Cricetulus griseus: one gene and its partners. The protein of the gene in region 1 interacts with the protein of each later gene in a pairwise test. Links are inferred from orthologs where the notes say so. Each region holds a gene or a part of one and is shown in the gene's direction. Other genes may lie near its edges. The genes, in order: Amotl2, Krt20, Thra, Mfap1, Brms1l and Rad51d.

Region 1 (4,220 bases):
CTTGCTTGTCAAACATCTTGTTAGATGCCCCTCTAAGCACCAGTGAACCATAAGACTGTGCCGTATGGCCTTTCTCCCGATTTTGTAACTCAGAGCGTGTGTGCCTGTACCTACTCTATAAGTGTCTCCACCAAGGGTTTCCAAGAATGCTGTCCATGAAGTGAGGACACCTGGGAACCTCCTCTTTTGCCTCTGCCACAAGACTCTTACCTAGTGCAGCTAGTGGGGACAATAATGTGTATGATGTTCCGGCCACAGCTTCTCTTTATATAGTGTCCTTTAGCTGGGCACATTTGTGGTTTTCTCATTTGGCTCAGACACAATCAGAATCTGAAATGCAATGTTTGAATTTCAAGCAAAACATATACATATTTTAGGGCTTTTTGATTTTCGTTTAATTTTGTATGTATGAATGTTTTGATTGCATGTACGTATGAGCACCATGTTGGTGCCTGGTACCAGCGTGGTTCAGAAGTGGGTGTCAGACCTTCTGGAACTGGAGTTAAAGATGGTTGTGAACCACCAGGTGGGTGCTAGGAACTGAAGGCATAGATCCTCCACAAAACCACGGGCTGTTAACCAGTTAGGACCCACCCTGACACACACACACGCTTTTAAAGAGAAGCTTTATAGAAAACTTGCCACATCCCTGCCTATTGGACTTGAAAGGTTTCTTGCCCCTTGTCCTAACTGTGCTGAGGGAAAGACAGACAGGAGGACCCAGCTAGCCAGCCGCGGAAATCAGCCCCGAGGAATGAACACCACTGGGAGCTCTTACTGGAGGGAGGAGGAGGGAGTTAGAACAGCCTTGCTTAACGAGGGGTCTCCTGGAAAGGTAGAAGGAGGACCCAAAAAGACGGGGTGCGGGTGGGGGCATTCCACGCAGAACAGCAGAAGGTAGCGAAGCGGACAGGAAAGAGGGCTGGCTGGGTGTAGGAGAAGTGGAAAAGATATTGGAATTGGGGACAGGTGGGTGAAAGCAGAGACTTAGGGAGCCGGGATTCCGGTGATCACGAAAAGAGACCTGGCTTATCAGCTACTCTCTGTGTGACCCTAGGTAAACTGCTTAAACTCTGAGCTTTGGTTTCCTATTTATTACAAAGACGATGAAAGAACGCTGTCAGAGAGTGACTGGAATCTGATGGCCGAATGAAATGCGCGTGGTGGCCCGTCGTGTACTCGGCTTAAAGCTGAGTGGAGTTGGGGAGGAGTTGGACCTAGTGCCCAGTTGAGAGTGATTCATTTGGGTAGTGGGTCAACTCCACATTTTCAACCCAGATTCACACTTCCTGTAGAGGCAGGATCTAAAAGAGCTGGAGAAGGTGTTTGTAAACAATAAAAGTGCAATTCAAAGTTTGCCGCTGGGGGGTGAAATAGTAGGGGTTAGAGAAGAGGCTGGGCAGCTGCAAGCCGAAGCATCTGTTCGTATGCAGCACGGTCAAAGCTGGGCGGATGTGGACTGCTTTGCAGTCCTCCCGCCATCTCCAAAACGCCAGAGAGACTCCCTCCCGCAGCCACCAGAGGGGCGTGCGAGGCATATCCCTGGAAGTCGTTCCTCGGTGCTTGTAGAGATGACCGGTGAGAACCGGGAGCGGACAGTGGTGGGGAGGTCTTGGGCCGAGTTGGTTAAGACACCTCCAACAGCTAGGACAGTAAGGCAGGGGGCAGGGAACGCAGCACGGCCGCCAGAGCCCAGGGTGGCGAGGGGACAAGGCTGAGGCCAGCCCAGCGGCCAGCCGCAGCGCCGCCTCCCGGGAAGAAGGCGTGGGGCCCGGACGGGGAGCGGGAGGAGGCGGAGGGCGGAGGAGGGCGGCGCGCTGAGAGGTTATTTGTGGTTCGCTTTGATCCCGAGGGGGAACCTGAAACTCTCACATTCCTGGCATAGCAGCCGCCTCCAGCGCGGGCTGACCCAGGGGCTGCGCACTGGGGCGCTAGCAGCCAGAACGTCGGCGCCACCGGCGAGTGCGCACCTTCACTGCCGAACGTACCTAAGCCGAATCCGGTCTGCGCGCGCCGGCAGCCGCGGGCCGCAGCGGTAAGAAAGGTGTCCGGCTCTCCGGGCAGCGCGCGAGGCCAGCGGGGACGCTCCCCAGCGGCACCCCGACTCCGCCATCAGCCCGGCCTTTTCTGGGAACCGGAGCTGGGGTGGACGACCCTCTCTGGGAACGGGAAGGGGAGGCGGTGCACCCTTTCGACGATCGATCCTAGGTGTCTGTCTAGCCCGGGGAGCCCTACGGTGTGCGCTTTTTTGAGGGGGGGTGAGAGGACACGACTCTCCGACCCACTGGGGCTGGAGGAGGGACAGAGGTTCGGTGTTTGGGGATGTGAGTCTCGCGATTGGGGCAAGTGGAAAACGGCTGTAGGCATATCTTGCCTAATGCAGGGTCCCAGTGGCTGCTTTGTCTAGATTGGGGATACAGGTGGCTTTTACCCTCAGCTAGCTCAAGAATTCCTCTTTGTCTTCCTTGGAAAATCCTCTCCGGAGCCACGAACTGGCTCTCACTTAGAAAGAATGCAGCCTGCTGTCCAGCCCGGTGACGTCAGCGCTGGAGTATTTGGAAAACAAAGAGGTCTAGGGAGAGAGGAGGACCCGCGATGCTTAAAGACCTCTGTCGCGGTTGCGGGTTATGCTTGTCGGGAGCACTCAGGCAGCCATCGGTGCTAGTGGCCCGCCTCAGGTCGAGAGGGAGCCCAGGCCAGGGCCAGAAACGCGTGTTTGCTTAAGAAGGCTGCTTTCAGAGTGCAGAGCTCCAGAGCAGCCCAGGTGCAACGCCCGGGTAAGGAAGCTGGTTTTAGTAATGGCTCAACTCTAGGTATTTGAAAGATTGTGCATCTAGGGGATTAGATTGGGAGCCGTGTGCGGTAAAACGCTTCGGAAATGTTCCTTGCTCCCGGAGCCTGGCTCATAGTTGGCGCGCCTGGAATCTGTCGCGAAGGCTCTGCATTCCTTCTAGCCGCTCCCGGATCCTCCTTAGCGGGAGTCAGCCCAGTGATTAACTTAGGAAATGCCGCGAAGAAAAAGCTACGGGCGAGCAGACTCAAGTCTTACACATTGTAGGGTGCAGTGGAGAGAGAATTAGATGCTACGAAGAGTGAATGGGTTGCGTGCATAGATGTCCACAAGACTCACTTCCTTCCCCCAACTCTGCCAACATACCATTCCCAAACCGGGGCGGGGCACGTTTCCCCCGCCCTCCCCTTCGTCTTTTCCCTTACCCCATTACCCCATCAGTTGGCTCAGGTGGTTGTTTCTAATGTCAACAGAGATGCAGGGGGACCGTCCCCTATGTGCCTAGGGTACATACAAGTAGAGGCTTTTCTAAGTAGCAGGGCTGTGTCGCTGGCTCCAGTTACTGCAAGCGCACCCCTCTGCCTCCTCCCAAAAACCATTGTCCTTTCTCTCTTTAGCCGCATTTGCCAGGTCACACGCAGCTTCTCCTGCTGCTCACCTTGCAGAATGATTGCTAAGGTCATCTATGACAAAGAAACTGGGATTCATTTTATAGGCAGCCTTTGAAGAAGCTTAGTCTGTCTCTCAGGGACTGTCTGCTTCCAGGAAGAGAACCCCATGGAGGGTGGTGGACTGACTACCTGTGGCTCAAGCATCTTCATTCTGAAGAGTCATGGGGGTCATTTGCTTAGGGCTCCTTTCTACCAGGCTACATTCATTCTTTACCATCTGCTAGTAAACTGGGGTCTGGACTGTTAAGTGGTTGAATTGGATGGAGGCTTGTCCTAGAGTCATTCATGAGACTGCTTGGTGTAGTGGTTGACTGCAGGGGACCATGGTCCCTATTGGATAACTTTCTGGTTTTCTGTTGTCTTTCTTTTTAAATATATACTTTTTTTATTTTTATTTTACGGCATCGGTGTTTTGCATGTGCGTACATGTCCGTGTGAAGGTATCAGGTCTTGGAGTTACAGTTGTTAGAGCTGCCATGTGGACTAGGAATTGAACCCAGGTCCTCTGGAAGAGCAGTCAGTTCCCTCTTAACTGGTGAGCCATCTCTACAACCCTTCTGTTGTATTTCTGTAGGATCAGTTAAGTCTCCATAAATGTCATTACAATGATAAGCATTTGTCAAGGATTGGTAGCTCACCAAGTGCTTGACTTCTCCAAGAGGCACACTGTATTTTCCCTCAGTTAGTGGTGATTAAGAATACACTGTTTTTTGGTTTTTGTTTTGTTTTGTTTTGTTTTGGGACAAACTGAGAATCAG
Region 2 (3,956 bases), on another chromosome or scaffold:
GGGGCTCTCAAGGCTCCTGCCCTAGTCTAGGAGTTCCTGGAAGCTGAGAGTTGCTGGAAGTCAAGAAGAGAGTTGGATTTTCTTTGGAGGTGTGGCCACCTCCCACACCCCAGTACACCCATAAGTACACAGGCAGCACTAATTAGATTCATGAGTTATTTTTAAAAAGAGGGGAGAGCATAAGTTGGATGGGAAATGTGTTGGGGGCTTCTGGGGCAGTTGGAGAGCGAAGTCAGGGTAGATGTTATCAAGATACATTATATACATATATGAAATTTCCTAAAACTACTATTGAAAGTATTTTCAACTCCAAAATCAACACCTATACTCATTTACTTATTCACCACATTCAGTTCTCAAACTCCGTGTGTGTGTGTGTGTGTGTGTGTGTGTGTGTGTGTGTGTGTGTGTGTGTGTGTGTGTACTCACGTGCCCATGTAGCAGGCTGGTGTCAAACTTGCAGTAATCCTCCTGTCTCTGCTTCCCAATTGCTAGAATTACAGGTGTGCACCAGGACACCCAGCCTCATACAAGATATTTCAACAGACTAAAAATATAAGTTCTAAACAAGGATAAACTCAAAAGCAAATTTAAAAAAAAAAAGAGCATAAAACAGAGGTTCTGAAAAGCAGCTCGTCATTGGAACAAGCCTTTGTCTGTTCTCACCAGTATGACTTACCATTGTGTTCCCACAGCTGTCTTGTTCAAAGCCTGAATTATTCATATAGATTGTAAATATTCTTTATTTGTACACGGGGATGAAAAAAAAACCTGCCAGGGCAGGTGCAAGATCTGAAAGAACACCCCTTCCTCATTCTTTTTGATACTTGTGTTCATTAAAAAGAAATCACCACTCCCTCCTCCCCCCGCCCAGCGCGCGCGCGCACACACACACACACACACACACACACACACACACACACACTAGAAAAGCCTTAATAAAGTGTCTCTAGTGGTCATTTCTGGAATAGGATGAAACATATTGCTGTACAAAAGAGGGGGAGGTAGCAAAGTGGACTGTGTCATTCCTGAGGTGACAAGGCAGCAGAGGAGGAGTGTCTCTCCTGAACTCTATAAAAGGTCAGCTCTCCAGCACCAGAGACAGACAGGCTGTGCTCCAACTCCAGGCTACAGGTGCTGCCTCCCAGGATCCCAGATGGATTTCAGTCGTCGAAGTTTTCACAGAAGTCTGAGTTCCTCCTCACAAGGCCCAGCACTTAGCATGAGTAGCTCCATGTACAGGAAGGGGAGCGCCCAGCGCCTGGTGGCTGCACCCAGTGTCTATGGTGGGGCTGGAGGCCACGGCACTCGCATCTCTGTCTCCAAATCTGTAGTGAGCTATGCGAGTGATCTCTCCAGTGGAGGGGACCTGTTTGCTGGCAATGAGAAACTAACAATGCAGAACCTCAATGACCGCTTGGCAAGCTACCTAGAAAAAGTGCGGTCCCTGGAGCAATCCAACTCCAGACTTGAAGTCCAGATCAAGCAGTGGTATGAAACCAATGCGCCTAGCACCATCCGGGACTACAGTCCCTACTATGCACAAATCAAAGAGCTGCAAAATCAGGTAAGTCATGGACCTGTGTTTTCGACATTACTGTTTAGTAGTATACTAGATTAAGGGGGGGGGGGTTGTGAGTGTATGCTAGGCGAATTCAAACACGTGAAGCAAATTAGGTTGAACTTTATAGCTGAAAAATCTATTTTATCATGTGGCATTAGTGTAAACAGGATGCGTTTAACCCACCTAATTACATATAAAATGTGATGATCTTATCATCCAAAATTACAGCCTGTGTCTTTGTCGTGGCTTCCAATGTCAGGTCTTCATGGAGAATAATCTTATTTTTAAAAGAACTCCAAGGGTTTCTATGTGAGTTTCCCACTAGTCTTCACCAACTTTGAAGACTCAGATCAATTTAAAGAGATTTTTCTCTTTTCATCCATATAAATGTTACAATTCAAGTGTCATCCTGCTATGGGTATAAATATTACAAGGGTTCAGAGTGCAGACAGACTACAGATATTATAGTGTCTGTATTGACTGACAGATGGGTAGATGATGGGTGGTAGGGTGGATGGAAGGAACAGCTTTTGAATACAAGATCTCCCTGTATATCCCAGGCTAGTCTGCACCTCACCGCTCTCCTGCCTCTACCTCCTCAGCACTGGGATTAGCCACCATGCTCAGTTTCGCTAAGTGGATTTTTTAATGTCCTGTTTAAGTTTCTGCTGACCATCATCAAGCATTTTATAAAGCACTTCAGCAATAATAAAATGTTCTATTGCCCCCAATTCAAATTTATTACAATCATATCACAATCTGTTCCTGTGTCATCCAAGATAGGTGGGGTTCTCTCTCTCTCTCTCTCTCTCTCTCTTTATAAACCCAGTGGACTAGAAGTGGGAGACTTTGCTCCGGGCTGACAAGGTCAAGCACAGCACACCATTTGCTTTGCTTCAGCATTCTTATCTAATCAAGGAAAGTGTCCCTTTCTGGTTTGCGTATATTTAAAATGATTACCCCTTTAGAGCAAAGGCCATTGACTTGGCCCGAAGGCCTCTTTGCTGGAGCTGTATTATAGGTACCAGTGCAGCCTGATTCAGATTCACAGAAACAATCAGCTCAGGAAGCTAAGGTGGTTACATCACCCTCAACAGGGAGTTCCTTCAGGCTTTCGCTGAAACACATTCAAAATGATTGTTCTCCAGCACTGCTCTCAAGGTTGATGCTTCTGAATTGACTCGGGGATTACCCATGATACCTCAGAGCAGCCATTAGTACCTTCTAGCTGGAAGCCTCTCAAGGGACCTCTCTCCAGGAATAGCTACTGAAAGAGATGTGTCATTTTCATGTCTTCTAGAAGTAGACTTCCCGTCTACATGCATCTTAAAGAATACAGTGCTTGTCTTTCAAGTACAAGAACCTGAGTTCGATCCCCAGAACCCAGGTTAAAAAAAAAATTGGAGAATGATGGTGTGTTCTTGTAATCCCAAGATCCCTGGGGTTTGCTGGTCAGCCAGCCTGACCTACTTGATGAGTTCCAGGACAATGAGAGACCCTGCCCCTCCCCCAAAAAATGTGGACAGTACCTAAGGAATAGCATGGAAGATTGTCCTCTGACCTACACATGTATATACCTGTACATATGAACACAGAGAGAGAGAGAGAGAGAGAGAGAGAGAGAGAGAGAGAGAGAAAACCAGGGTGTGTCCATCCTTCCATCCTAATGCCTAATGCCTACCAGATGGCAAGTTGTCATTCACTCACTGTTTCATAGACACTAGCTGGGTACTGAGCATCACACATAGAAGAATGTGTGGGTAAATAAAGTGTAAGGTGGAGACAGGCCTGGACCAAAGCAACTGTCACTCAGGTAAACGCAGGAAGGCTGTACAGAGCCACAGAAGCAGGGACACGGCCCTGCTAGAACTGGGGGATATCATTGAAGGCCCCCTTGAAGCCACGGTGTCTGAGCTGAGAGCTGAAGGCATAGGAGCTCCCCAGGTGAGGAGGGCTAACGGCAATATTCCAGGCATGAACATCACCACAGACAAGACACTCAATAAGGTTCAGGGATATGGATGAAGTCCAACTTCTGTTTTGTACAAAAACAAGAAAGTGGGTCAGACCAAGAGTCCTGTTTTTAACTATTACCTCAATACCTGTGTCACTATTGCACCTAATTACTCTCACACTTTTGAAACGGACATCGCTTTTGATGTAATTACAGTTGTCTCTGAGGACAAATGAGATCTTTTTTATCTCCAGCCCTGATGAAAATGTCATTCTTTCTCTCTCTTATGCTTTCCAGATTAAGGATGCTCAAATTCAAAATGCTCGGTGCGTCCTGCAAATTGACAATGCTAAACTGGCTGCAGAGGACTTCAGATTGAAGTAGGTTCCCTACATCACAGTGACTATAGGTGTGTGTGTGTGCAAGTGTGCGTGCGTG
Region 3 (3,500 bases), on another chromosome or scaffold:
TAATTTATTTATTTGTATTGCACATTGGTGTTTTGCCTGCGTGTCTGTCTGTGTGAGGGTGTTGGATCCCCTGAAACAAGAGGTACTGACAGTTGTGAGCTCCCATGTGGGTGCTGGGAATTGAACCGGGCTCCTTTTAACCACTGAGCCATCTCTCCAGCCCCCAGTTCTGGTTTTCTACACCTTTGCTTTCTGGAGCCTGTCTGTTCCATCCAGTGGGGTGCTCCATGAGAACTGGGCCTTATCTTCCTGAATTCCAAGGTAGAGCTAACCCACAGGGACTGAGGACAGAGTCAACATAACAGTATTGTGGGGCACCTGCAGGGCTCCAGGCGTTTTATTGAACCCTCACAGAACTTACTGCCAAGTTGAGGGCCGGAAGGCGATGGACCACTGGGGCCAGGCTCCCTGAGTATGCTAAGGGATGGAAATTACACTAAGGACTGGTTGTGTGACTCTGGTCATACCATTTAACTGTGCTAGGCTTCTGTCTATGAAGTGCTGTCTTCCATAAAGATTTGTGATGAGGATTAAAAGGAGCTATGTAAAACAGTGTGGCCAGCCTATGGTCTGCTGCCGTGTTTTCAGTCGTTATGGCTGTGTTTTATTACGATTTATTGACTACTATTCTCACTATTATCAGCACTAGCAAATTTGAAATGCTCGCCCTGGGCTATCCTTTTGGAACACAGTCATGGCTGGGATTTTTTTCCCCCAGGCTGCCTTGGAGCTCCCCCTGGTGGGCAGGGAGTCTCAGTGAGCAGTTGAAAGGGGTCCACAGCCCCAGTGACCCTCATCTCTCTCCCTCTAGCCGGATGACATTGGCCAGTCACCCATTGTCTCCATGCCAGATGGAGACAAGGTAGACCTAGAGGCCTTCAGCGAGTTTACCAAGATCATCACCCCGGCCATCACCCGTGTGGTGGACTTTGCCAAAAAACTGCCCATGTTCTCCGAGGTGAGTGGCAAATGGAAGGAGAGACTTGCTAGAGGGAACCTAGGATCATTTCTGAGGTCACACAGCCTCACTGGGTATTCCTCAGATATTTTCTGGACAGGGGGTGATTCTCGTAGCTTGTGTATACACACACACACACACACACACACACACACACACACACACACACTCCTTGAGTGACCATTTTACCTCCAGGCAGCATGACTCATTTCTTCATTCTGCACAGCACTAACTGGAAATAGACTGTTGTACTAGCTGTGGGACCTTGGCCAACTTACCTAAATGCCCTGTACGTCAGTGTTTTGAAGAGGACTGGAAGAATGATGGGACCTCACTCTTGGGCCTAACTGTGGGGTTTAAGTGCATAAGTGGCCATGGCCCAGCAAAGAGGGTGGGGAGGTTGTGGGGCATGGAGAGGATGTACTGAGTGGCCTGTGCTCCTGTTGTTCCACAGCTGCCTTGCGAAGACCAGATCATCCTCCTGAAAGGGTGCTGCATGGAGATCATGTCCCTGCGGGCAGCTGTCCGCTATGACCCTGAGAGCGATACCCTGACGCTGAGTGGGGAGATGGCGGTTAAGCGCGAACAGCTCAAGAATGGCGGCCTGGGTGTAGTCTCTGACGCCATCTTTGAACTGGGCAAGTCACTCTCTGCCTTTAACCTGGATGACACGGAAGTGGCTCTGCTGCAAGCTGTGCTGCTAATGTCAACAGGTATCTTGCCATGGCTGAGAGGTCCCAGAAGCTCTCAGGAGCTCTAGAGTTTATTTACACCTAAGGGTTCTTGCTTTCCCCTTTATTGATCTTGCATAGGCACTGTCTCATCTCTTCACTCCCCGGCTCCCTCTCTGTTTATCAGTCCCTCCTCTGCCCCCTAGTCCTATATTTTAATTATTTTTTTTGTCCTCGTGTTTGGTCTCCAGACTATTTATTGCTTTTGATCTCCAACCTTCTCTCTGCCTCTGTTCCCCCTCTGCCTCCAGTTTTCCTCTCTTCTCAATGCCATCTCTGTTTCTCCACCCGCCTCATGGATCGCTTCCTCAGGTTCTTAGGGGCCTTCCTGAGTCCCGGTCACCTATTCCTACCAGGTTGGCCTCTAACTCAGAAATCTGCTTGCCTCGGCCTCCCGAGCGAGCGCTGGGATTAAAGGCGTGCGCCACCACTGCCCAGCCTTGATCTCTCCTGGCGTCTCTGCCTCAGAGTCCCTTCATGCCCTCCTGAATGTTTCTTCTGCATTTCTCTCAGACCCTCGGTATTCATGCCTCCTGCTTTCCCTCCCTGCAGACCGCTCCGGCCTGCTGTGTGTGGACAAGATTGAGAAGAGTCAGGAGGCGTACCTGCTGGCGTTCGAGCACTACGTCAACCACCGCAAACACAACATTCCACACTTCTGGCCCAAGCTGCTGATGAAGGTGACTGACCTCCGCATGATCGGGGCCTGCCACGCCAGCCGCTTCCTCCACATGAAAGTCGAGTGCCCCACCGAACTCTTTCCCCCACTCTTCCTCGAGGTCTTTGAGGATCAGGAAGTCTAAAGCCTCAGGCGGCCAGAGGGTGTGCGGAGCTGGTGGGGAGGAGCCTGGAGAGAAGGGACAGAGCTGGGGGCTGAGGGAGAACCCCCCACCTCTTCTCTCCTTCCTCCCATCCTTGGATAGATGCAGCTCCCATATACCCCTGCACTGCCCAGTCCCCCTCAGAACCTCCTCCAGCCCTTGGACAGGGCAACAAATGAACTTGCTATGAAAGACAGTGTGGGAGGCTGGGGCCTAAGTCCTAGAGTTTCTGGGACCCTAACCTCTAAGAAAATAGGGGAAGGGAGGAAGAAATAAGAGGGACAAGCCATCCTGATTGTAGGGTCAGGAGGAATGAGGAATAGGGGCAGATGCCCTCACTCACCCCTATATACACAGGAGAGCCCTGCCAAGTTTCTTGGCCTAGATTCCCTTCAGGCCACAGGTCTCTACTTCCCCAAATACCTGGGTCCTGGGTACAAAGGACAGTTTGGCTTGGCTCCTCCCCTGGAGGCTAAAATGGTAGTCATCCTTACTGCACTTTGGAAACCAAGCGAGGGGAGAATATAAATGAAGAAAAACTAGACAGAAAAGACAAAAAAAAAAAAAAAAAGACAAAAAAGAGAATGTTAGAGAGAGAGAGAGAGAGAGAGATGATATTAAGTTATTAGCTGAGGCTGGCCCAAGGGGAAGGACCCCCTCCCTTCCCACCCCCATGCACTTTGAGAGCTGCCCTTCTGACCCCAGAGAGAAATGCCCCCAGCAGACCTACAAGGGTAGGGCTGCTGATTCGAGCTGTGAGATGACAGAACAGGGTCCTGGCGCCCCCTTGCCTTGCCCCCACCCTGTGCCCCTTTGGCACCGCACCCCAGTACTTCCTCTGCTGTCTGCCACTCGTGCCCGCTGAGTGCCATCTACCTCTCACGCTGGATGCCAGCTGGCCCCTCACCAGCCTGCCCTGTTGCCCACACAGCTCCCCTTTCAAGTGCCCAGCCCCAGGGGCCTCCTGTCTCCCTCCTCCTACACCTTGGC
Region 4 (3,500 bases), on another chromosome or scaffold:
ACTTACCTAGCTAGGCATTGTGGTAAATTGTTTCTAATCCTAACATTCTGGGAGGCTTGCCATGAGTTTGAGGCTAAGCAGCACTCCATAAAAGTCTTGTCAACAGACAAGGTGCTTAGAAAGATGGCTCGGCAGTTAAGATCACTAGCTGTCTCCCAGAGCACCCAGGTTCAATTTCCAACACCCACATGGCAACTAATAGCCATCTGTAACTCCAGTTCCTGGGCATCCGTGCCATGCCTTTAATGCCTGCACGCAGATCTGTGAGTTCTAGGCCTCTCTGGTTTACATGGGGAATTCCAGGCTGGTCAGGGCTATATAGGAAGACACTGTCTCAAAAAGTGAATAAAAATGAAATTTTTTTAAATTTAAGGGAAGTCTTTAAAGACCAGGAATATAACATATGTCACACACACAAAGGTGATAGTGGGGGAAGAAATAGAGCTGAGATGCTTCCTGGTTTGGGCTTTGTCTGATTCGAACAGGACTAGATCTAGAGGGACACAGTTCCACTCTAAGGACTTTGGGCAATTAACAGGACCTCTGTGATGCAGGAAGGACCGAGTGACAGTTCAAGAACGAGAAGCTGAAGCATTGAAACAAAAGGAACTGGAGCAGGAAGCAAAACGTATGGCTGAGGAGCGGCGCAAGTACACACTAAAGGTGCTGGGAGTGGCCATGGATTGAGTGCAAGGGTCTGTGTGATGAGGTTATAGAGAGATGGAGTCCAGTAGCTGAATTGTCCTTTTCCAGATTGTAGAAGAAGAGACCAAGAAAGAGCTGGAGGAGAACAAGCGGTCTCTTGCTGCACTGGATGCGCTCAATACAGATGATGAAAATGATGAGGAGGAATACGAGGCCTGGAAAGTCAGAGAGCTCAAAAGAATCAAGAGGGACAGAGAAGACCGAGAAGCGTGAGTAGTGGGAAGCCATTGATGGATTGAATGGCACTGGTTTATCTGTGGAGATTGACCAAGCAGTTCCTCTCATAGTCTCAGTGGGCTCACCTGTACAATGCCTCCAGCTGGAGGACTGACTGGGCCAGAACATCAGAAGCCCTTCTCTGGCATGTCTGACAACTGATGCTGCCTTTCAGGCTAGATGCTCACACTGCAGCTCCAGGCATAATGGAAAACTAGCAAGATCTCCTGAGTTTTAAGTTCCAGGAGTCAAATGTCACTTCTGTGCTATTTTTTTATTATTCAGATGGAGCCAAGGGCAGCCTGGGAGAAAGGGATAGAGGAGCAGATTCTACATCTAAGAGTGTAGAGCAGCAAGTACCTTGAAAAGCAAGTTCATTTCTGAACTGCTAACTCACAAAGTAAAGCCACCACTACATAACTGTCTTTATTTTTTAGTTTCTGATGTTCTTTTTTTTTAATATTTATTTATTTATTTTTATGTGCATTGGCGTTTTGTCTGTATAAGGGTGTTGGGTCCCATAGACCTATAGTTACAGACATTTGTAAGCTGCCATGTGGGTGCTGAGAATTGAACCTGGGTCCTCTGGAAGAGCAATCAGTGCTTTTAACCACTGAGTCATGTCTCCAGCCCCTCTAATGTTCTTTTTTTTTTTTTTTTTTTTTTTGAGTATTTATTTATCATGTATACAGTACATGCCATAAGAGGGCACTAGATCACATTACAAATGGTTGTGAGCCACCATGTAGTTGCTGGGAATTGAACTCAGAACCTCTGGAAGAACAGTCAGTGCTCTTAACCCCTGAGCCATCTCTCCAGCCACCCCCTAATGTTCTTATACTGAGCTTTTTTTTTTTTCCTTTGAGACAGGGCCCTTGGCTGTCCTGGAACTCACTATGTAGACCAGGCCAGCCTGGAACTCACAGAGATCCACCTGCCTCTGCCTCCCAAGTGCTGGGATTAAAGGCATGCGCCACCACTGCCCAGCTGAGATTTTTTTTTTTTTTTTTTTGGTTTTTCAAGACAGGGTTTCTCTGTGTAGCTTTGGGGCCTATCCTGGCACTCTCTCTCTGGAGACCAGGCTGGCCTCGAACTCACAAAGATCCGCCTGCTTCTGCCTCCTGAGTGCTGGGATTAAAGGCGTGCGCCACCAACGCCCAGTCATGAATGCTCTTAATGCACGCCAGAAGAAGGTATCAGATCCCATCACAGATGGTTGTGATCTACCATGGTTGCTGGGGATTGAACTCAGGACCTCTGGAAAAGCAGTCGGTGCTCTTAACTGCTGAGCCTTCTCTCCAGCCTGAAATTTTTTAAATTATGTGTATATGTGTGTGGATATGTATCTGTGTGAGTGTAGGTGCCTGTGGAATCCAGAGCAGGGGGTGGGCATCACTTCCCTATAGCTGGAGTTGAGTTATTCTTGGACATTTTTCTTGTTTTTAAGACAGTGTTCTATGTAGCCAATGGTGACCTTCAGCTTCTGCTCCTCTGACTTTGCCTTCTGAGTGCTAGTTACAAGCATGTGGCCTCATGCCCAGTTTCTATAGTGCTAGAGATAGGAATTAGGCTTCATGCACACTGTGTGAGCACCATACCACTGAGTCACATCCCCAATCTTTGCATTAGACTTTAATGTTAAAATTATATATATATATATACATATATTTGTCTGAGACAGAGAATATAACCTCCCTTTCTCCCCAAATAAGGTTTAAATCCACTGTACTTAATATTGGTAATCCTTAATTTGTGGCAGGTAATATATGGATTACATTATGCTTATGAAAGATTATAAGCTCTCTTATCCATTTTTTTATTCATTTTAATTTTGTTTTGAAAGCTAAAGTATTTGAGGGAAGACAGAATTAGTGTTGTAAAATCAAACATTATATGTCTGAATCTCAGAAAGGCTAGATTCAACTTTGGAATGTTTATAGCCCTGTTCTGGTAAACACAATAATGAAGACCAACTCATGTTTTTGTTCACTGGACTCCCGAGCTTGACTTCTGACAAGCAGTTAACAGAACTAAAGATGTAGTCAGGTGTAGCAGCATGAGCCTATCTATATAATACTAGCAGTTGGGAGAGGAGGTCGGAAGTTGAGAGTTCCGGGCAAGCTATAAAGCAGACCTGCTGTGGATGAGTGAATGAATGAAATGTGAAAAGGTGAATAATGGCTGAAGAAGATGAGACCATTATCTTCAGAAATTTGGGCTTTTTGAATTTGGAAAATACTAATACTTTTGCTCTCTGAATAGGCTTGAAAAGGAGAAAGCAGAGATTGAACGCATGCGAAACCTGACTGAGGAGGAAAGGCGAGCTGAACTTCGGGCGAATGGCAAAGTCATTACCAACAAAGCCGTTAAGGGGAAATACAAGTTTTTACAAAAGTATTATCACCGGGGTGCCTTCTTCATGGTAAGTGAAAAGGGAGTCAGAAAACTGGGCAATGGGAATAATTTACAGGCATGTTGAACCTTTTGACATTGTAACATGACCTTGCCATCTGTACACTAAAAAGAAGCGATGAAGATACTTAAAATAGGCTGTTTCATAGTGGTGCACACCTTTAATC
Region 5 (3,500 bases), on another chromosome or scaffold:
ACTACTGTGACTGTACTGGAAGACAGCCCTGTGTTCTTCCAGGCCAGCTTATTTGCCTTGGAGAAAGGAAAGACCAGGGCAGTATGAAATGTGGCCATTTCAGGGTGAGGATAGGGAAGTTTTCTATTGTGCACTGATAAATGTTTTACCAGGTTGGCCCACAGTTCTTGAGTATGTTTTGTTTTTGTGGTTTGCATTTTGCTTTTCTGCTATACTTGGGGCAGATTTGATGAGATCAGTGCGGGTGTTCCCTTGCTTGTGAGTTGGGTGTCTGTGGACAGTTGCTTAGTTTTTCTTAATTGATGTCCTTGTCTGGAAAAGTGAAGTAAAAAGAATAGGTACTTCAGGGCTGGTGAGGCGGCTCAGTGGTAAAGGTGCTTGTCCCCAAGGCTGGCAACCTGAATTTGATCCCCAGCACCCATGTGGCGGGAAGAGAGCCTACTCTCACCAGTTGCCTTCACATGTGTGCTGTGGTGTTCAAGTGTGCATACATACACACCACACCTGATGAATAAGTAAATAATGTAAAAAAGAAAAAAAAAACCTACCTCTGTGTAGCTTCCTTGGAGTTTTGTACAGTTTTGTATGTATGTAAGCAGTAAACATGAAATTATGTACTGCTCTTTCTTCCTGTGGCCACTGGAATCAGCTCACACTTTGATTTGCTTGCAGAGCTGTGGAATGATGAGCTTCAGTCAAGAAAAAAGAGGAAGGATCCTTTCAGCCCCGACAAAAAGAAGCCAGTTGTCGTTTCAGATATCCTTTCCCACAGTTGCTGCGCTTCCACACAGTCTGTCTCCGTTACTTCAGCACACACTGATTTTACTTGGACTGTCCCAGAACAAGCATGTGAAGACTTACAAAATGACTGAAGCCAGAGATAGACTGTTGCCTTAGAGGGCAGGGGAGAATAGAAACTCCAGTCATCACCTCAGCTTTGAAAATTGTCAGTGTCCTGTCCACAGGACTGAGGGGGAACAGCTGTTTATAATAATACAGTGTGATTGGTTTTTATGGGTGCTTTTTGTTGTTTTTGAGACAAAAATCTTATATGTATCCCAGGCTGGCCTTGAGCCCATAGTCCTCTTGCATCTGTTCACAGAGTGTGCACCATATTGGGCTCTGAAGTGTGTGGTATTCTCACTGCTGAGTTGACCTTGACCTCTCAACGCCCATATATAGTTTATATGCTGCAGGATCTTGATATTCTTGAGGACTGGACAACAATTAGGAAGGTATGATTAATGAATGTTGCAAGAGTTTACCTTTTAAGAGTTTGTTCATCAATATATGAGAATATAATCATTGTAAATATACTCTGCTTTGTAGTAGGCCATAGAATATTTTAAGAATTAGAGACAAGTTTGTGATTTGTATTTTTCCTGAAATAAAGTAATTAGTAATTTATAAAATAATATGGAATTACATATGTTTAGTTTATCCTAGAGTATTTGGGTTTAGAGCTTTGTCTGTCTTTGCCCTATAGGAGGCACTCCGTAGATATTTGTTGAATGAATACATTAAACTTTGAGTGTCTTATATTCTATTAATAACTATCAAGGCATGAATGGACTCTGATGCTTGTTTAAGAATAGAACTATGTATATTGCCATCTTTTTACTTATTTCTATTACTGTTTTTACTTTTTATTTTGCTCAGACTGTCCTAGAGTTCACTTTGTAGCCCCCATAGTCTTTGAACTTGTGAGCCTTCTGCCTTGGCCTTCTTGGGATCTGGATTATAAGCCTGTGCCACCAGACCTGGCTTGAGGCTTGCTTTCCTTATTAAAAATTTCAGTTTTTATAAATTATCCAGAGAAACATTTCGGCTGTTAATAAATATGGGAGAAGGTATTCTCTGTTTTTTCATCCTATTTATTATTATTATTATTATTTTGGTTTTTCAAGACAGGCTTTCTCTGTATAGCTTTGGAGCCTATCCTGGCACTCACTCTGGAGACCAGGCTGGCCTCGAACTCACAGAAATCCGCCTGCCTCTGCCTCCCGAGTTCTGGGATTAAAGGCGAGTGCTATCAACACCGACTAGGTATTCTCTGTGACCTTAGAGACCATTAGTCTGGAGGCTGGGCATGCCTCTCAGTTCTAGCGTGCTTGCCTAGTGTGCTTGCCTAGTGTGCATGATGCTTTGGGTTCTTCCCCCAGCACAAGAAAATGAGAGCTGCTAGTGTTTACATTTTATTCTGTTACTGAACCAATCAAGAATGTTGTATATATTATAGAGAGCAAAATGCATTTTCAGTAGTCTGAACTCAGATTTCTCCCCTCTTTCTCTCTTTTTTCTAAGGCAATGGCTACACTGGGTCCACACCGTGTTAAGACCGAACGTAAGTCATGAGTTGTGACATCCTCTCTGTGGAGAGCCGTTGAATCCGAGTGGTTAAATGCCCTGTGTTTTGAGGAGCTGCACACCACTGGTTCCATGAATCAACAAACTCTGTAACCGACCTTACAAGGAGCTCGAGAGTCTCCTGCTTCATGAAAAAGCTTGAAAGTTTCCAATGCTCTGTATTTCTTCTTACATTGTTAGGCCATATCTTTTTTACTGATATTAGATCTGTAATTCAAGATGCATTTACCCCCAGTGGTTTTTTTTTTTTTTTAAATTGGCCCATTACTTCTTTAAATGAAGTGTTTGGAACTCATGAATTGGTTCCAGGGAGTTCAGATTCTCTGGAGTTGTCTACTAAATTTCTTAGGAGTGCTTTTCCTCCCATCAGCAGATACTAGAATTCTGACAGTGGAGTACTGAGAGATTTATCTGCCACTGAGATTTACATGTTGTGTTTTGAGACAGGGCTTTGCTAAGTAGCCTTGGCTGGCCTGGAAATTATGATTTGTTTGCCTCTGTCCCCTGAGTGCTTGTGCTAGTGCTAGAATTATATATGCTTTTGTTGTTGTTTTCAACTTTAAGATAGCTGCCAAAGTTGTGATGAACATTGGTGTCTATTTCTGCTTCTTTTTGGGTAGATTTTTATAATGCTTTAAAGGGTTATTAGCTTTTTAAAAAAGCATATTTGAAATAGTAAGGAAAAGAATTCTTGTTTCATTTTAAAAGCATCTTTAGAGGTATTTATCTTTAAGAAAGTTTCAATTTTTTTAATGATGACTTTAAACTTTATTTCATATCAGTAAATTGCAGCAGTGCTGTATCTATATACTACTCTTGACTGGAGGAGACAGATGCCCGAATCTCTAGAATGAGTTTTGGGTCTTTGATTTTTCTTGGTGTGTGTGTGTGTGTGTGTGTGTGTGTGTGTGTGTGTGTGTGTGTGTGTGAGTGAGAGAGAGAGAGAGAGAGAGAGAGAGAGAGAGAGAGAGAGAGAGAGAGAGAGATGTGTTTGTATGTATGTTCACATGTGTGTGGGTGTGGGTGTGTGGGTGTGTGGGTATGTGGGTGTGTATATGTAGAGGCTAGAGATTTATCCTTGATGGTTCTCTACTTAATTTATTGATGTAAGACTTCTTGTTAAATAGAATTCT
Region 6 (3,995 bases), on another chromosome or scaffold:
ATGGTGAACATGGGGAAATATTTCTAAAAATGGGCCAGACTTCTCTGCTATGGAGAGAGCACAAGGTAGAAAGCGAACCCACATCTTCCGGGGAGGGGAGAAAACAAGTTCAGAAACACTGGCTTTGCAGTTGGATGTGGGCTTGAGATTCAATTCTGTGCTTGCTAGCTGCGTAACTCGGAGAATAAATGTCTTCCTGAGTCACAACTCAACTACAAAATACAGAGAGAAACAGAACCTCACTCAAAGGTTTGTGACACTGCTTTATTTCTCCCACTGGATGTGGTAAAGAACATTTCAAAATAGTAAACTGTGTTTCACATGTTCTAAATACTCAAGCATTGACTCCCACTAAAATCTTTGGAAAATGCCTGGTGGTGATGGTGTACATCCTCATTCAAAACACTCAGGAGGTGGCCAGCCTGGTCTATACAGTAAGTAGCAAGACAGCTAGAGACGCACAGAGAAATCATGTCTCAGAAAAGAAAAACCTTCAGAAAATATGGGGCTAGAGAAGTAGATGCTGAGTTATGAACGCTGGTCCTCTAGAACAACCAGTGCTCCTAACTGCTAAGCCACTTCTCTAGCCCCCATCTGTAACAAGTCCAAGGGAATCTGACCCCCCTCTTTGGCCTCCTCAGGCACCAGTCACGTAAGGGGTGCACAGACATCCATGCAGGCAAAACATTTATATGCATAAGATAAAACTTAAAACACTTTTTTTTTTTTTGGAAAATACAGGGGTGCAGGTGTGAACTTCACTGGATCATACAATCTGTAATGGTGTGAACTGATTGCTCCTTATTGTCTGTTTCCCTAACGTGAATGCTACTAGAAGGCGGGTATGCTTCACTCAGTAAGTAGGGTGTGAATGTCCCTAGCGTTGGGAATGGAGGCTAGTACACAAGGGACTCGGGGGGGGGGGGCAGGGGGAGAGGAGAGGGAGAGAGGAGGAGAGAGGAGATAGAGAGAGGGAGGAGAGGGAGAGAGAGGACAGAGAAGAGAGAGGGAGAGAGAAGAGAGGAAAGAGAAAGAGAGGAGAGAGGCAGAAAGAGGGGGAGGGAGGGAGGGAGTAGCTGAGACTGGCAGGTGGTTGGCCCTAGCCTGAAGGCCGCCGCGTTTGCCCGCTTGGTCAGCAGATGGCGCTACAGGCCTGGGCCACAAAAGCCGCTCCAGTTGCGGAACCCGGAAGCGTCCGCCGGGAGGGGGCGGGTCCAGGGCTCTGGAGTTTGGAAGGGCTGGTGTCCCTCACCCCGATCTGCATCCTCTTCCCGCCCCCTTCCCGCGCTGGCGTGCCGAGACTCTTTCCAGAAGTGGGACCTAGTGGGGGGTCTCGGCGGGCGCCCATGTGACAGCCCCCGGGGCGCCCCGGGTTTGCAGGAAACATGGGCGTGCTCAGGGTGGGGCTGTGCCCGGGCCTCACCGAAGAGATCGTCCAGCTTCTGAAGGGCCAAAGGATCAAGACAGGTGACCTCCTGGGCTCGTGACACATAACATGGGCACGACCGCGGGGGTCGGCGCCATGGTGTTGGCACACGTGCGGGGCGTTTCAATCTAACCGGAGGCCACAATTTGACCTCAGTATGGGGTTCTCAGGAGTCAAGACGGAGACAGAGGACTCGACTGTGTGCTGGGCTCCTCTCCGGGTCCTGCATCAGGGCCTGCGTGCTTGAGATGGGGAGTAGACTAAGACCTTAACGCCATTTCCCAACAGAGGAAAAGGCAAGCGTGGCAAAACTAAAGCATTCCTGTTGTTAATAGGTTGCTCTTGGTCTCTTTCCAGTGGCGGACCTGGCAGCTGCTAACCTGGAGGAGGTAGCCCAGAAGTGTGGCTTGTCCTACAAGGTGAGCTTACCATGTGCAAACTCCATCCCAATGTCTCTTCTAGAGCGGGTCCCCATGCTGCAGAATCAGAGTTCCCGGAAGTTGCTAAGGGGCACTAGACCTAGATTGCTCTGCGGGACAAGCTGGTCACTGGCAGTCTGGGTGCTCTGGAGACTGTGTGTCCGTACTTTTGGCAGGCCCTGGTTGCCCTGAGGAGGGTATTGCTGGCGCAGTTCTCGGCTTTCCCATTAAACGGAGCAGACCTATATGAGGAACTGAAGACTTCCACTGCCATCCTGTCCACAGGCATTGGAAGGTTTGTATGTTTACCTGGGCAAGAACTTGAAAGCCGAGCTTCCCATGCGGAGACTACAAAGGGCAGGACCGGTGAGGGCAGTCTGGATATGTCAGGGAACCTAGAGGCATCTGAACTCCTGAGATTTTTTTTTTTCCCCTTAGAGTATAAAGACAGGGGTTCTTAGCCTCAGCACTATTGAGACTTAGGGAGCAAGTAATCATTTGCTAGGGTAGGGGTATCCTGTGCATTGAGAGACGTTTAGCAGTAACCCTGGGCTCTACCCATCAGATACCAGGTCATTTCTTCTGCCCTGAGTTGTAACAATCAAAAATGTCTCCAGATATGACTCAGTATCACCTAGGAGACATCATTTCCCACTGAAGAGCCATTGTCCTGTAACACATGATGTCACTAATGCCCCATTTTTTATAATTTATTTTTTAAGTTTCATTTTACATTCCAACCTCAGTTCTCCCTCTCATCCCCCCTAATATCCCAGTTTTCAGTAGAGTCTCTGATACTTCAGGATAAGGTAAGTGAGACCAGGACAGGATTGAGATTTCCTGGGAGTCTGCACCTAAAGTCTGACCCTAGGGCAGTGGTTCTCAACCTTCCTAATGCTGTGACCCTTTAATACAGTTCCTCATGTTGTGGAGACCCCCAACCATAGAATTATTTTTGTTGCTACTTCATAACTATAAGTTTGCCATTGTTACAAATTGTAATGTAAATATCTGATATGTGACCCCTGTGAAAGGATTGTTCAATTTCCCAGGAGGGTCAGGACCCACTACCATAGACTCTAGATGTTAGAGATTTTTTTTCCAAAGATTTTATTTATTATGTATACAATATTCTGCTTCCATGTATATCTGCACACCAGAAGAGGGCACCAGATCTCATAACGGATGGTTGTGAGCCACCATGTGGTTGCTGGGAATTGAACTCAGGACCTCTGGAAGAGCAGCTGGTACTCTTAACCTCTGAGCCATCTCTCCAGCCCCGATGTTAGAGATTGTTGACCTCCTTTGTGGTTAGCCTAAGAGGAGGGGTCGGCAGAAGTGAGCCCAGGGAAATATAACCCAGAGCCTTATGCCTTTGCCGTAGGAGGCAGCAGCCAGGAACATGTACACTCACTGAAAAGAGCAGTTATATTGTGCCCTGTTGTTCGGGTTGGGAAAGAATTGGAAGACAGCTGGCATTTTCTGGCCAAGTAAGCCTGACCTCTCTTCTGGCCTGTTTGTGCGGAGTTTGATGAATAACACTGCTATCACAAAGGTCTTTGGATTGGTCTGGCCCTTGCTGTTTCCACAACACACTCTTGGCAAGGTCCGCACAGTCTGGTGCTTGCTTCCACTGTTTGGGGGGTCTGTGTTTGTAATCCATCAAACATTGGCTGAGTGCCTACTGGGTGCCAGACACATGCAGATACTATCTGTACGAGTGAGGCAAGGCTCCCACTCTTAAGTATGGTGGTTAGTGTATATGGGAGACTTGTGGGTGCGGCAAGGAGGCACATTGGCTTTGGAGCCCAGGGAACTTATAAAACCAGCATCCACAGAAGGAACAGTGAGAAGGTACACTGGCAGGATTGCAGCTGCAGTATTCATGGGTGGGGGTGGGGGCTCAGGGTGGGACAGGTAGCCTTGGCATAGGCAGAGCTGGCCCTGAGTGCTCACCTTGACTCTGACACTGTGCTCAGCATTTCATGGCATGCATTTCATTTGTCCTTCATAACCCCTAATGTGAGTTCACTGCCCTTGAAATCATCTATGTATGTGTACATGAAGGAATAGGGACTTAGGTTCAGGCACCGGCATAAGATCCTGCAGCTACTAGGTTAGATGGTAGATAGATTGGGCACTGGAGGTCA

The links.
Region 2: the proteins of Amotl2 (region 1) and Krt20 interact in binary tests that used the Homo sapiens proteins (3 or more experiments, as listed by UniProt). The two-hybrid records come from large-scale screens. The link is inferred for Cricetulus griseus from reciprocal best matches to the Homo sapiens genes AMOTL2 and KRT20.
Region 3: the proteins of Amotl2 (region 1) and Thra interact in binary tests that used the Homo sapiens proteins (3 or more experiments, as listed by UniProt). The two-hybrid records come from large-scale screens. The link is inferred for Cricetulus griseus from reciprocal best matches to the Homo sapiens genes AMOTL2 and THRA.
Region 4: the proteins of Amotl2 (region 1) and Mfap1 interact in binary tests that used the Homo sapiens proteins (3 or more experiments, as listed by UniProt). The two-hybrid records come from large-scale screens. The link is inferred for Cricetulus griseus from reciprocal best matches to the Homo sapiens genes AMOTL2 and MFAP1.
Region 5: the proteins of Amotl2 (region 1) and Brms1l interact in binary tests that used the Homo sapiens proteins (3 or more experiments, as listed by UniProt). The two-hybrid records come from large-scale screens. The link is inferred for Cricetulus griseus from reciprocal best matches to the Homo sapiens genes AMOTL2 and BRMS1L.
Region 6: the proteins of Amotl2 (region 1) and Rad51d interact in binary tests that used the Homo sapiens proteins (3 or more experiments, as listed by UniProt). The two-hybrid records come from large-scale screens. The link is inferred for Cricetulus griseus from reciprocal best matches to the Homo sapiens genes AMOTL2 and RAD51D.

What each region holds. Positions count from the first base shown.
Region 1 is NC_048597.1:210,958,158-210,962,377, forward strand, and holds the start of Amotl2 (angiomotin-like protein 2), read left to right. Parts: upstream 1-1,420; 5' UTR 1,421-1,427; coding exon 1,428-1,578; intron 1,579-1,848; exon of another isoform or gene 1,849-2,035; intron 2,036-2,463; exon of another isoform or gene 2,464-2,777; intron 2,778-3,264; exon of another isoform or gene 3,265-3,997; intron 3,998-4,220. UniProt on the Homo sapiens protein: Regulates the translocation of phosphorylated SRC to peripheral cell-matrix adhesion sites. Required for proper architecture of actin filaments.
Region 2 is NC_048600.1:113,147,868-113,151,823, forward strand, and holds the start of Krt20 (keratin, type I cytoskeletal 20), read left to right. Parts: upstream 1-1,156; coding exon 1,157-1,567; intron 1,568-3,815; coding exon 3,816-3,898; intron 3,899-3,956. UniProt on the Homo sapiens protein: Plays a significant role in maintaining keratin filament organization in intestinal epithelia. When phosphorylated, plays a role in the secretion of mucin in the small intestine.
Region 3 is NC_048600.1:111,846,855-111,850,354, forward strand, and holds part of Thra (thyroid hormone receptor alpha), read left to right. Parts: intron 1-811; coding exon 812-958; intron 959-1,412; coding exon 1,413-1,671; intron 1,672-2,241; coding exon 2,242-2,369; intron 2,370-3,500.
Region 4 is NC_048599.1:56,948,267-56,951,766, forward strand, and holds part of Mfap1 (microfibrillar-associated protein 1), read left to right. Parts: intron 1-554; coding exon 555-663; intron 664-753; coding exon 754-914; intron 915-3,183; coding exon 3,184-3,343; intron 3,344-3,500. UniProt on the Homo sapiens protein: Involved in pre-mRNA splicing as a component of the spliceosome.
Region 5 is NC_048598.1:146,525,975-146,529,474, reverse strand, and holds part of Brms1l (breast cancer metastasis-suppressor 1-like protein), read left to right. Parts: intron 1-672; coding exon 673-756; intron 757-1,170; coding exon 1,171-1,235; intron 1,236-2,304; coding exon 2,305-2,344; intron 2,345-3,500. UniProt on the Homo sapiens protein: Involved in the histone deacetylase (HDAC1)-dependent transcriptional repression activity. When overexpressed in lung cancer cell line that lacks p53/TP53 expression, inhibits cell growth.
Region 6 is NC_048600.1:96,308,849-96,312,843, reverse strand, and holds the start of Rad51d (DNA repair protein RAD51 homolog 4), read left to right. Parts: upstream 1-1,195; 5' UTR 1,196-1,385; coding exon 1,386-1,467; intron 1,468-1,783; coding exon 1,784-1,845; intron 1,846-2,021; coding exon 2,022-2,140; intron 2,141-3,995. UniProt on the Homo sapiens protein: Involved in the homologous recombination repair (HRR) pathway of double-stranded DNA breaks arising during DNA replication or induced by DNA-damaging agents. Bind to single-stranded DNA (ssDNA) and has DNA-dependent ATPase activity.